Schizosaccharomyces pombe: one gene and its partner. The gene in region 2 interacts genetically with the main gene of each other region. Each region holds a gene or a part of one and is shown on either strand. Other genes may lie near its edges.

Region 1 (6,198 bases), on a different chromosome or scaffold from region 2:
ATAGTAGTGGAGAAACTTCGAAAAAATATCAACAGAAGAGAGAACTTATGAGTAGCACACTTAGAAAATTGGACACCTCGTTGGTTTTTATTTATTTATTTATTTTTTTAAAATGAAGTCGAATCCATGCCATTACTACTATTACTAAATTAACAAAACAGCCATTTTAAATATTTGCATATGATAAATTTTGTAAACACTATAATATAATTTATTGGTGTTTAATAGTTCGAATGCAAAGTTGAAATACTTAAACAACAAGGCATTTAATTAAATAGATTAATTTTTAAGATTCAATTTATTAGCTTAGATGAATTTTTTAGTATGTTTGACTAGTTCTGTGTCATATAACTTTGGCAGCTACCAATCTCCCACTGTGTTACTTTCGACGTCGGTCCTTCGTTATTTAACATTCTTTAAATCTATTCCTTTTTTTGAGGTTTTTTATTTATCCTTTTTGAGGACTTAACTGTGGCAAGGAGTTTCTTCTCCTGTTTTATACATTTCGCGTTCGCGCTTTAGAACATTCAATCAATATGTCTTCTAGAAACGCTTCAATTGCTAATGGTTTGTCAAGGGGTTACTTCTTTGAACTAATATTTTAAAACAGAAAGAACTGATGAGGCAAGGATGTTTAATTTTTATGAAAAAATGCCTAAAGATACAAACACAGTGCGTGTATTTGATCGAGGGGTAAGTATTGATGAATAGAAAAATTTACTTAAACTTCGTAAAAAATAACTTGAAATATTATTATTTTTTAATCCAATCTAACACTGTTTTCTAGGAATTTTACGTTGCAATAGGAGAAGACGCTTCGTTTGTTGCTCAAAACGCGTATCACACTACTTCGGTGCTAAAACACCACAATGTGTCTAATACATCTTATTGTAACTTATCTCCTTCACTATTTATTAAGTTTGCGGAAGATGTTTTAAGCAACCTTGCAAAGAGAGTTGAAATTTGGGGAGCCAATTCCGCAAAGACAGGATTTGAATTGTTGAAGCAAGCTAGTCCTGGAAATATGCAAATGCTGGAAGATTTGCTTGTTAGTGAGAATTATCAAGAATCCACAGCCATTAGTGATAGCTCAGTTAGTTCGGTTTTGTTGGCTGTTACTACTAGGGTTAAACAAGATCAGCGAATAATTGGCGTTGCTTTTATAGATCCAATTTTAAAAAAATTAGGTGTTTCAGAATTTGTTGACTCAGATGCTTATACGAACTTTGAAGCTCTCATAGTGCAAGTTGGAGCGAAAGAGTGCATAATATCGCAATCTGGGCATGAATCGACGAATGGCAATTCAGCCGTTTCTATTAACACGGCAGAAATCAATCGTCTTCGAAATATTATTGAAGGTTGTGGCGCATTAGTTACAACTATAAGAAGCTCTGAATTTTCGGCTCGAGATGTTGAACTTGAGCTCTCAAAAGTGCTCGACAGTCCAGTTACACATGCTCTTGTTCCAGAACTAGGTCTACAATTAGCAATGGCATCCTGCAATGCATTGCTTCGCTATTTAGGACCTGCGTTACTAAACCCTGACATGGAAGACGACCGTGAAAACACATCTCGAAAGCTCCATCTGTATCATCACAACTTGGAACAATACATGCGATTAGATATTGCAGCAGTTCGTTCTCTTAACCTACTTCCTCCTCCCAATGGTAATGCTCATAAAACAATGAGTCTTTATGGTTTACTTAATCATTGTAGAACTGCGATGGGAGCAAGGAATTTAAGAAGATGGATTGTTCAGCCACTTTTGGATGCAAAATCAATTGAACGAAGACATGACTTGGTCTCCGCACTTGTGGAAGATGCTGAGGCACGCCAGTTATTGCTTGATGATGATCATCTTCTTCGTTCAATTCCAGATATTCCTAAACTATGCAGGCGTTTAACTCGTGGATCAGCTAGTCTAGAAGATGTTGTACGTATTTATCAAATGGCAAAGGCACTTCCGAAGATCGTTACGGTACTTGACTCTTTGACTAGTGAACATAAAGATTTGGTGGATAAAGTATACACGAACGTCCTTAACAATCATTGCAAAAACTTGGAAAAATTAATAGAGCTTGTTGAAACCACCATCGACTTGGAAGCATTGGATTCACATCAGTATATTATCCGTGCAGAGTTTGATGAGGAGCTATTAGATTTGCGTCAACGATTAGACGAATTACAGCATTCTATCTTTGAAGAACATAAAAGGGTCGGTTCAGATCTCCACCAAGATACCGAGAAAAAATTACATCTTGAGCAACATCACCTCTATGGATGGTGTCTACGCCTTACTAGAACAGAAGCTGGCTGTTTAAGAGGCCGTAGTTCTCATTATACAGAATTATCAACTCAAAAAAATGGAGTCTACTTTACCACTAAACGTCTTCATTCACTAAACAATTCTTATATGGATCACCAAAAAAGCTACCGGTACCACCAAAATGGGCTTGCACGTGAAGTTATAAAGATAGCTGCAACATACGGTCCTCCTTTGGAGGCGATTGGCCAAGTAATTGCTCATTTGGACGTGATTCTAAGTTTCGCACATGCAAGTACGGTAGCTGTAATACCTTATGTAAGACCAAATATTGTGGATTCAAGCATTGCACAAGAAAAGCATGGACAAAGTAGCAATATTTTGGACATTGTTTCATTAGAAGATACTCCTAATTTTGAAGAAATACGAAGAACTCTAGAAAATAATCATTGTGCTCGTCTCTACCTAAAACAAGCGCGACATCCTTGTTTGGAAGCTCAGGACGATGTGAAGTTCATACCCAATGATGTTAATCTTGAGCATGGAAGTTCAGAGCTATTAATCATAACCGGACCAAATATGGGTGGAAAATCAACGTATATCCGTCAAGTTGGAGTTATTACCGTCATGGCACAGATTGGTTGTCCAGTGCCTTGTGAAGTGGCTGATCTAGATATTATTGATGCTATCCTTGCACGTGTCGGAGCCAGCGACTCACAGCTTAAAGGCATTTCTACTTTCATGGCCGAAATGTTGGAGACCGCTACGATTTTGAGAGCTGCCACACCGCGATCCTTAATCATCATTGATGAATTAGGACGAGGGACTAGCACAACCGATGGTTTTGGATTAGCGTGGGCTATTACAGAACACATCGTGACTCAAATCGGTTGCTTTTGCCTTTTCGCAACACATTATCATGAAATGACCAAACTATCAGAAGAAATCACTACTGTCAAAAATTTGCATGTTACAGCCTATGTAGGTGATTCAGAATCGAAGGATGTAGCTTTACTCTATAATGTTTGTGAAGGAGCTAGTGATCGGAGTTTTGGAATCCATGTTGCTAAACTTGCGCACTTCCCTCCCAAGATTATTGAAATGGCAAGCAACAAAGCCGCAGAATTAGAAGCTGAAGACTCTGGAGCCCAAGGGGATACTCAAGAAGTGAAATCTAAAAAAGAAGGTATGGCAATTGTACGTGATATAATGAGACAATGGCGTAGCAACGTCAAACCAGAAATGACTCAGCAACAAATGATGGACCAATTTCAAAAAGTCATCGGCTCATTCGCACAGCAAATCAATTCCAACAACTGGCTACAATCCAGGGTATCCACAAATGAGGTTTCCTCATGAAGAATGTGAGCAAGGTACTAATTGAAAGAATTCAACCAAGGTACATGTTTTTTGGAAGCGCATTTTATGAATAAAATAATTTTTTACTAAAACGAGGAAAAGCCATAGATCAATGAATTTTATAACCCAAAACTGTTTCATTTGCCATAATAACCAAATAAAAAGATATAAATGGGAAACGAACCACTAGTTTTCCAATTAATCACAGCTTGCACAACCATTACAACCTATTTTCATTAGCAACTGGTAGCAATAGCACTTCTTTACTTACCACAATGAGTACATCTCACACGTTGATCTTTATCAAGTTTTGATTTAGGTACACGACATATACACGTTGAACCAAATTTTGACTCAGCGGTTTGAATACAGCGCAGACAACAAAGTTTCTCGTATCCTGGTTTTTTCCATTTGGCGATTAAATTTCCATCGGCATAATTTTGTTTTAGCAGCCAGTTGTAAAGTTCGGTAGATATGGCTTCCCGTTTGTAGTATAAATCGTATATATAACGACTGCGCTGATGATGAAGTTGAAAAATCGGTGCTAGCATTTCCGTCTTAGTTCCCTTTCCCATTGTATTCTCAATTTGACGCATACGATCTTGGAATTCAATAAGGGTGGGTTCTATTTCATCAAATCCGTCAGGAGGGCTATAGCTAATTAGAATCTTACTTCGTAGGTAAAAATAAAGGTAACAAGGAAAATACTTGGTATACATACCGCTTGGTTCTTGACGTTCGAAGACGAGGCATGATAACAGAATATTTTTTAAGCAAACTACGACTTTTCTTCAATAAACCAACACAGAATAAGGAATGCTTGCTTTAAAGAGATTAAATATAAAGAAACCGATAAAATGAAATCTAGTGATGGGTAGTTTTTATCCTTTTACTTATTTGGTGGTAGTGTACTTATGGGCAAGTTGGATTTGTGAGAATCCAGTGTAAATTCCTTGTAAAATAGACTGCCGCGATTGAAACTGTTGCAAGATATTCTTAACTATAGAAACTAAGTTTTTTCTCCGTTAATTAAATTATAGCCTCTTCAATTGAGGATAATTGAGAATTTTTGAATTTGTGTCTCCACTATATTTTATACCTTAACATATGGCCAAAAGGGAACCAGATGCATTTGTATACTATAATACTACAATACTGTTTTCATGGTATAACATTGACGCTCTGTTGTGTTGACTACTAATCATATATTAAAGTTGATTATCGATGGATATTAGCGAGAATTTTGTCTATTGAATACTAGGCTCGATAATGAGAAAGCGGCAATTAAACCTTCCCTAACCTCCACATGGAGTTCACGGATGTGTTTTATAATTTAGAGAATGAAAAGCAATTTTTGGCGGGTATGCAATTTATTCATAATTGTAAACTTGAATGTGCCTGGGATTCATTATCCTGGCTAAATAGTATTCCCGTTGACGCTAACATTTGGTGACAGAAATTGACGAACTTTTAACTATACCATACGAAAAAAATGAACTGGAAATTGGTGTTTCAAAGTTTCTTTCTTTTATCAACAAATATGGAGGTAATGTTTTGGAGAATTGGGGAAGCACAATTTTCCGTGTTTTTCCTATGGATGAAATACAAAGAAATTGAGTGTTTGTCTCTTTATAGAACATCTTATCTAACAAAATAAATTCAATAGAACCGTACCTAATTACAGAATTCCAATTGCAGAGATGTATGGAAAAGTTCCTCAATAGTCCGCTTTATCAACTAGACGAAAACGCCGTTTTAAGTATTTTCTATGATTGCTTTTTTTTCTTGAAAGAACAACAAACTTTGAAATTCATAATCATTGTCTTTCAATCCGAAATTCAAGAGAATGAGTACTGCTTGCGTTTGTTGGCTTCTACGGGGTTCATTCCCGTCTTGATCAAGGCAATGAAACAGTTCAAGGATCGTTCAGAAAATGTTGCTTTTACATCTTTTCGTTATGCTTTATTCTTAGTGTACTATATTTGTCGCTCGAGACGACTTTCACCGACCGACTTAGTCGCAATTGATGAATATTTTTTAGTAAACCTATTCAAAACGTCGGAAGAAGCTTGGAATGATGAGGACATGGACAGTTTTGGAATGTGCGTCTTGACATTGCTTAGCATCAATGAACAGTTTATGCTTGTTCGGCTTGCTTCCAAAGGTTCGTTTGAAATCGCAAATGGCATAATGGATTTGCTGAGCTCTTCCAAAGTGGATAACGGTATCTACAGTGAAGGCCTAGTTTTCACTCTAAATCGAGAAAAGGATCCACGCTCTCGAATGTTAATACTAAAACAACTATTCCTTCTTTTTACAACTCCCGCTACGTATGAGATATTCTATACCAATGATCTCAATGTCCTAATTGATATATTCATACGCGAAATAAACAATATTCCCGATGAGCTTTCGGATCTTCGGTATGCATATTTGCAAGTTTTGATTCCTTTGCTTGAAAATACACAGGTGCGCCATCCACCTCATTACAAAACTAAGTGTATAGTCGACGCGGTCAATAATGTCTTAATTTCTCACTCAAAAAGCAGCAACATGGAAGATGCACGTACTACAGA
Region 2 (3,656 bases):
GTTTGGGATAGTGTTTCTCGACAAGTTTTGCGCCGCCTCGTTCAGTATTATTCGCCGGTCTCTTTTCTTCAATGCAAGGTCGACAAGATATCATTTTATTCAAACTCTTCACTTTCTTTTCCAGTTTTAAAGCGCATGATTACAAATGAGTACTTAAATTCAGATGTTCGAATTTGCATTCAAGATGATGGGGTAGAGCAGCTGATGCAACCGGAAAATATTCTCAAAATCAGCTCTGATATTGTCGTATGTCCACTTCTTAAAGATTTTGAACTAACATAATTTTTAGACACAAGGCTCAGAGTCCAGTTGGCGTGCCAAAGCTGAAACCAGTGAAATGCAGCTCAAGGAAGCAAAAAGATTATTTTATGAATTAAAGCAAATTCATCAAGCGTTATGGGAAAAATACCTGCAAAAGTAACTTTTTTTGTTAGGTTAAAAATTTGAATAAAATTATAAGGGATTGGAATAATTACACTTTTGTAGCAACGGGGTTCTAATTGTTGTAGCCCTTTTGTTATAATCTCATTGGAAAATTTTATTAAATATGTTGAATTAATTTTTTATCGTTAACTATTTTGTTCTCTGTCTTCAGCTTTTACTTGTATTAGTGTCGAGAGCAATCATCTCAAGCAAAACATCGCCAATGTAGTCATAGAATTCATCGATATATTTTCCTAACTTGTTAAAATTTTGTTCTAAGTCAAGGTTTCCATACCTGCTGAAAAGTTAGGTATGCCGCTTTCGGTCATTATGCTATTCATTAAATGTCGACAAGGCTCATGTGAAGGGAGATAATTTCGTGCATGCTGAAAGTCTTAGTTATTATTTATTTCCATTTGAAAAGATTATTTTCTCACTTCTATCAGGTAGCTAACATAGTCGGGGTCATGAAGCTCTTCATTAATGCTCATATTCATAATTAAAAGTATAGCTCCCGCTTTGCCAGAAAATTTCTTCCAATTCAAGTCCAAGTAAGAATTCAGCAAATACGATCCATATTCAGAACCCACAAAGTGTATTTTAGTGCTCACTGAATTGGACATTACATAGTTTAACCCTATTGACACATAGCTCTCTGGAGTCTCGACGTCTATTCTTTGTTAAAAATTTCATTGGATATTAGGAATCAATCTTACCTTTTATGATAGATTTTTTAGTGATTTGAAGTCCCTGAGAGGTGAAATAACGGGTTGTCTAAATTTTGGTAAACATTATTGAATAAATTTGCACATACCCTAGGGAAATTAATGCTTTGGTCCCATAATAGCGCAGAGGGAGAAAATATTACAACTGAAAGTTTCTTTTCTGTGCATTTGGCTATTACATCTAGTACAGTTGCACGTCTCACATCGCCTTCGCGCAAGTTTCTATTTGACCAGATTAAGGGGTGCGACATTGACTGTATAATTATAACTATTCCATTTTCATTAGTTTGCCAATTTCGTGTTGCATATATCCAACTATGTGGTTCTGACGGTGAAGATTCCAATGGTATAGATATTCGTGTTAGAAGGGAATTTTGTAAAGTCCAACTGTAAACGTGATCTAATTTCAATTGCAAGTTAACTCCTGAATTAAATGATTACCCTACCAAGTACAGCAAAATAGAATTTTTCGTTGTACTCTTTATCTTTGGTAACTTGAAATTCATATAGCTCATTTGGCGCGTTCAACTTCCTCAAGTAAAAATCGTTGGTAATTTGGAGATTCATGTCTTCAAGACAATTCCCAAAGTTGACGTCCCTTTGGAGTACACGGGATTTCTTTTTCCTAAACATATGTAAGGCCTACTTACCAATAATAAATTACGATAAGTCGGTTAGTAGTAGGTGACATTACAAAATAATTGAATGGTGACTCAATTTTTGTTGTTAAAAAATATATATATGAATTTGTAGATCAATACTACATAGTTTATTCTATATATTTAATAAAAAAAAGGAGGAAAGCATTGTAAGTTCATATGGTTTTAGGTCTTCAAATTTCAACGTATAAACCACTTCAATTTTTTGATAATTAAATCATCTTATTTCTAATATATCTATTTGTATAGGTGTAAACACCGAGAAGTTTCTTCATAGTGTATCCCTAACCTTCTTCGTCACGATAATAATTTAACCCATTTACTAAGAATGTATGCTGAAAACCTTCTCACAATGACCAACTAAAACAAAGAGAAACTCTTGAATTGTCTACTTAAAAATGCCGTATTTTTTCATATGGTGCACTTCGATAACAAAAAAGCAGTTTACAACATTGCACAAAAGGATTGTTTCACTGATCAGCCGTCTCCTTCTTTTTAAGCTCCGCCATATATTGTGCGAATTTACTTTGAGGATGACTGTGTAATCCACATTCTGTTTTCTCTCGACCGCGCCAACGTCCGGCACGTTCATCTTCACCTTCTCTAACTGGTTGAGTAGAGTGCCAGTCACCAACTGATCTGTAACCCTTGTTCAGAAGTTCATTATATGGAACGTTGTTTGTAATAATATAATTATGAACTTCAGTAAAAGACCAGTTAGCCAAGGGGTTGATCTTTAATACTGGTCCATCCAGCTGAACAATGGGCAAAGATCCGCGCTCTCCACCTTGACTACGGCGGCGGCCAGTAAACACAGCAAGTACATTTAAGTCAGAATAAGCACGACTTGCTGGTTCCACTTTGACTAAAAAGTCATACCGAGATTCATCTGTCTCCCAAAGCTTCTCACCAAACTTCTGAGCAAATTCCTTTTCGTTGGCTGCTTCAGCACAACGATAGACGTGAACAGGCACGTTAGGATACTTAGTTTTGACTTTTTCAAGAAGATCCAGTGTTTCTGGGAAATGATGAAGTGTGTTGATAAAAATCAGAGGAACATTCATATCCATTTTCGATAACATGTCCATAATAACAAGCCCGGACAGTCCTAACGCAGATGTTTGAAACAAAGAAGGAAGTGTCCAACGGCACCATTTTAAGATATCTTGAGGACTAAGCTCCGATAACTGCTTGTTGATGTATTCGAGATGTTCTGGGTGAAACAAGGTTTTCGCTTGCAATTTATTAGCAGGCGTATCGATTGAGCTCATATTGAGTACAATAAATTAGAAAAACCAAAATTTGGGACGAAATCAATTATGTCGGCGAGGAACCAATGGTTTAAACCGAAGATAAAAAGTCGAAAACTTTTCAAAAAAACCAAAAAAAAAATTTGAGTCGTGTACGCAGAAAAATTTTACTTACACTTACTTTTATAGTTTTATAGAAGCTATTGGTGTGCTCTGTAAGACTTTTAGAGAATAGTCAGACAGGTTTGGAAAATAATTATTACGGAAGATCTGCATCGATGCTTACAAAGGAAGAGGTAACAAGACGATACCTATTTTAGTTGGTAATAGTAAATTGTAGAAAAAAAGAATAAGATCATTAGCATTTAAGTATAGTTAGTGAATTGTATACTAGAATAAATGAATATTATTAAATGTATCAAATACGAGATGAAAGAGAGAGATTTTGCGCATTTTAATGTTACTACACCGTTTTTTTATTTTTGGTTTTAAATTTATAACTCTAATGAACTAAAAATTTCTCTTTAATTATTTCAATAACGTTAGTCAAAGGTTGATGCACAAATCTTTTATAACGTTTTGTATATTATAGTTAATAT

The links.
Region 1: of arb2 (region 2) and cwf14, extra expression of one rescues a mutant of the other (dosage rescue), as found in Schizosaccharomyces pombe (one study listed by BioGRID).

The regions. Positions count from the first base shown.
Region 1 is NC_003423.3:2,341,881-2,348,078, reverse strand, and holds cwf14 (G10 protein), read right to left. Parts: upstream 4,539-6,198; 5' UTR 4,376-4,538; coding exon 4,344-4,375; exon of another isoform or gene 4,274-4,343; coding exon 3,894-4,273; exon of another isoform or gene 3,850-3,893; coding exon 3,821-3,849; 3' UTR 3,623-3,820; coding exon of another isoform or gene 788-3,622; 3' UTR 779-787; downstream 1-778. Other genes in the region: msh2 (DNA mismatch repair protein), read left to right, coding at 537-567, 611-693, 788-3,622; endocytosis protein Dip1, read left to right, coding at 4,929-4,983, 5,079-5,168, 5,289-6,198. UniProt on the Schizosaccharomyces pombe protein: Involved in mRNA splicing where it associates with cdc5 and the other cwf proteins as part of the spliceosome.
Region 2 is NC_003424.3:2,307,151-2,310,806, reverse strand, and holds arb2 (argonaute binding protein 2), read right to left. Parts: upstream 1,825-3,656; 5' UTR 1,782-1,824; coding exon 1,595-1,781; exon of another isoform or gene 1,549-1,594; coding exon 1,238-1,548; exon of another isoform or gene 1,198-1,237; coding exon 1,140-1,197; exon of another isoform or gene 1,094-1,139; coding exon 861-1,093; intron 810-860; coding exon 719-809; intron 678-718; coding exon 592-677; 3' UTR 513-591; downstream 1-512. Other genes in the region: rixosome complex WD repeat subunit Crb3, read left to right, coding at 1-246, 290-421; met16 (phosphoadenosine phosphosulfate reductase), read right to left, coding at 2,278-3,078.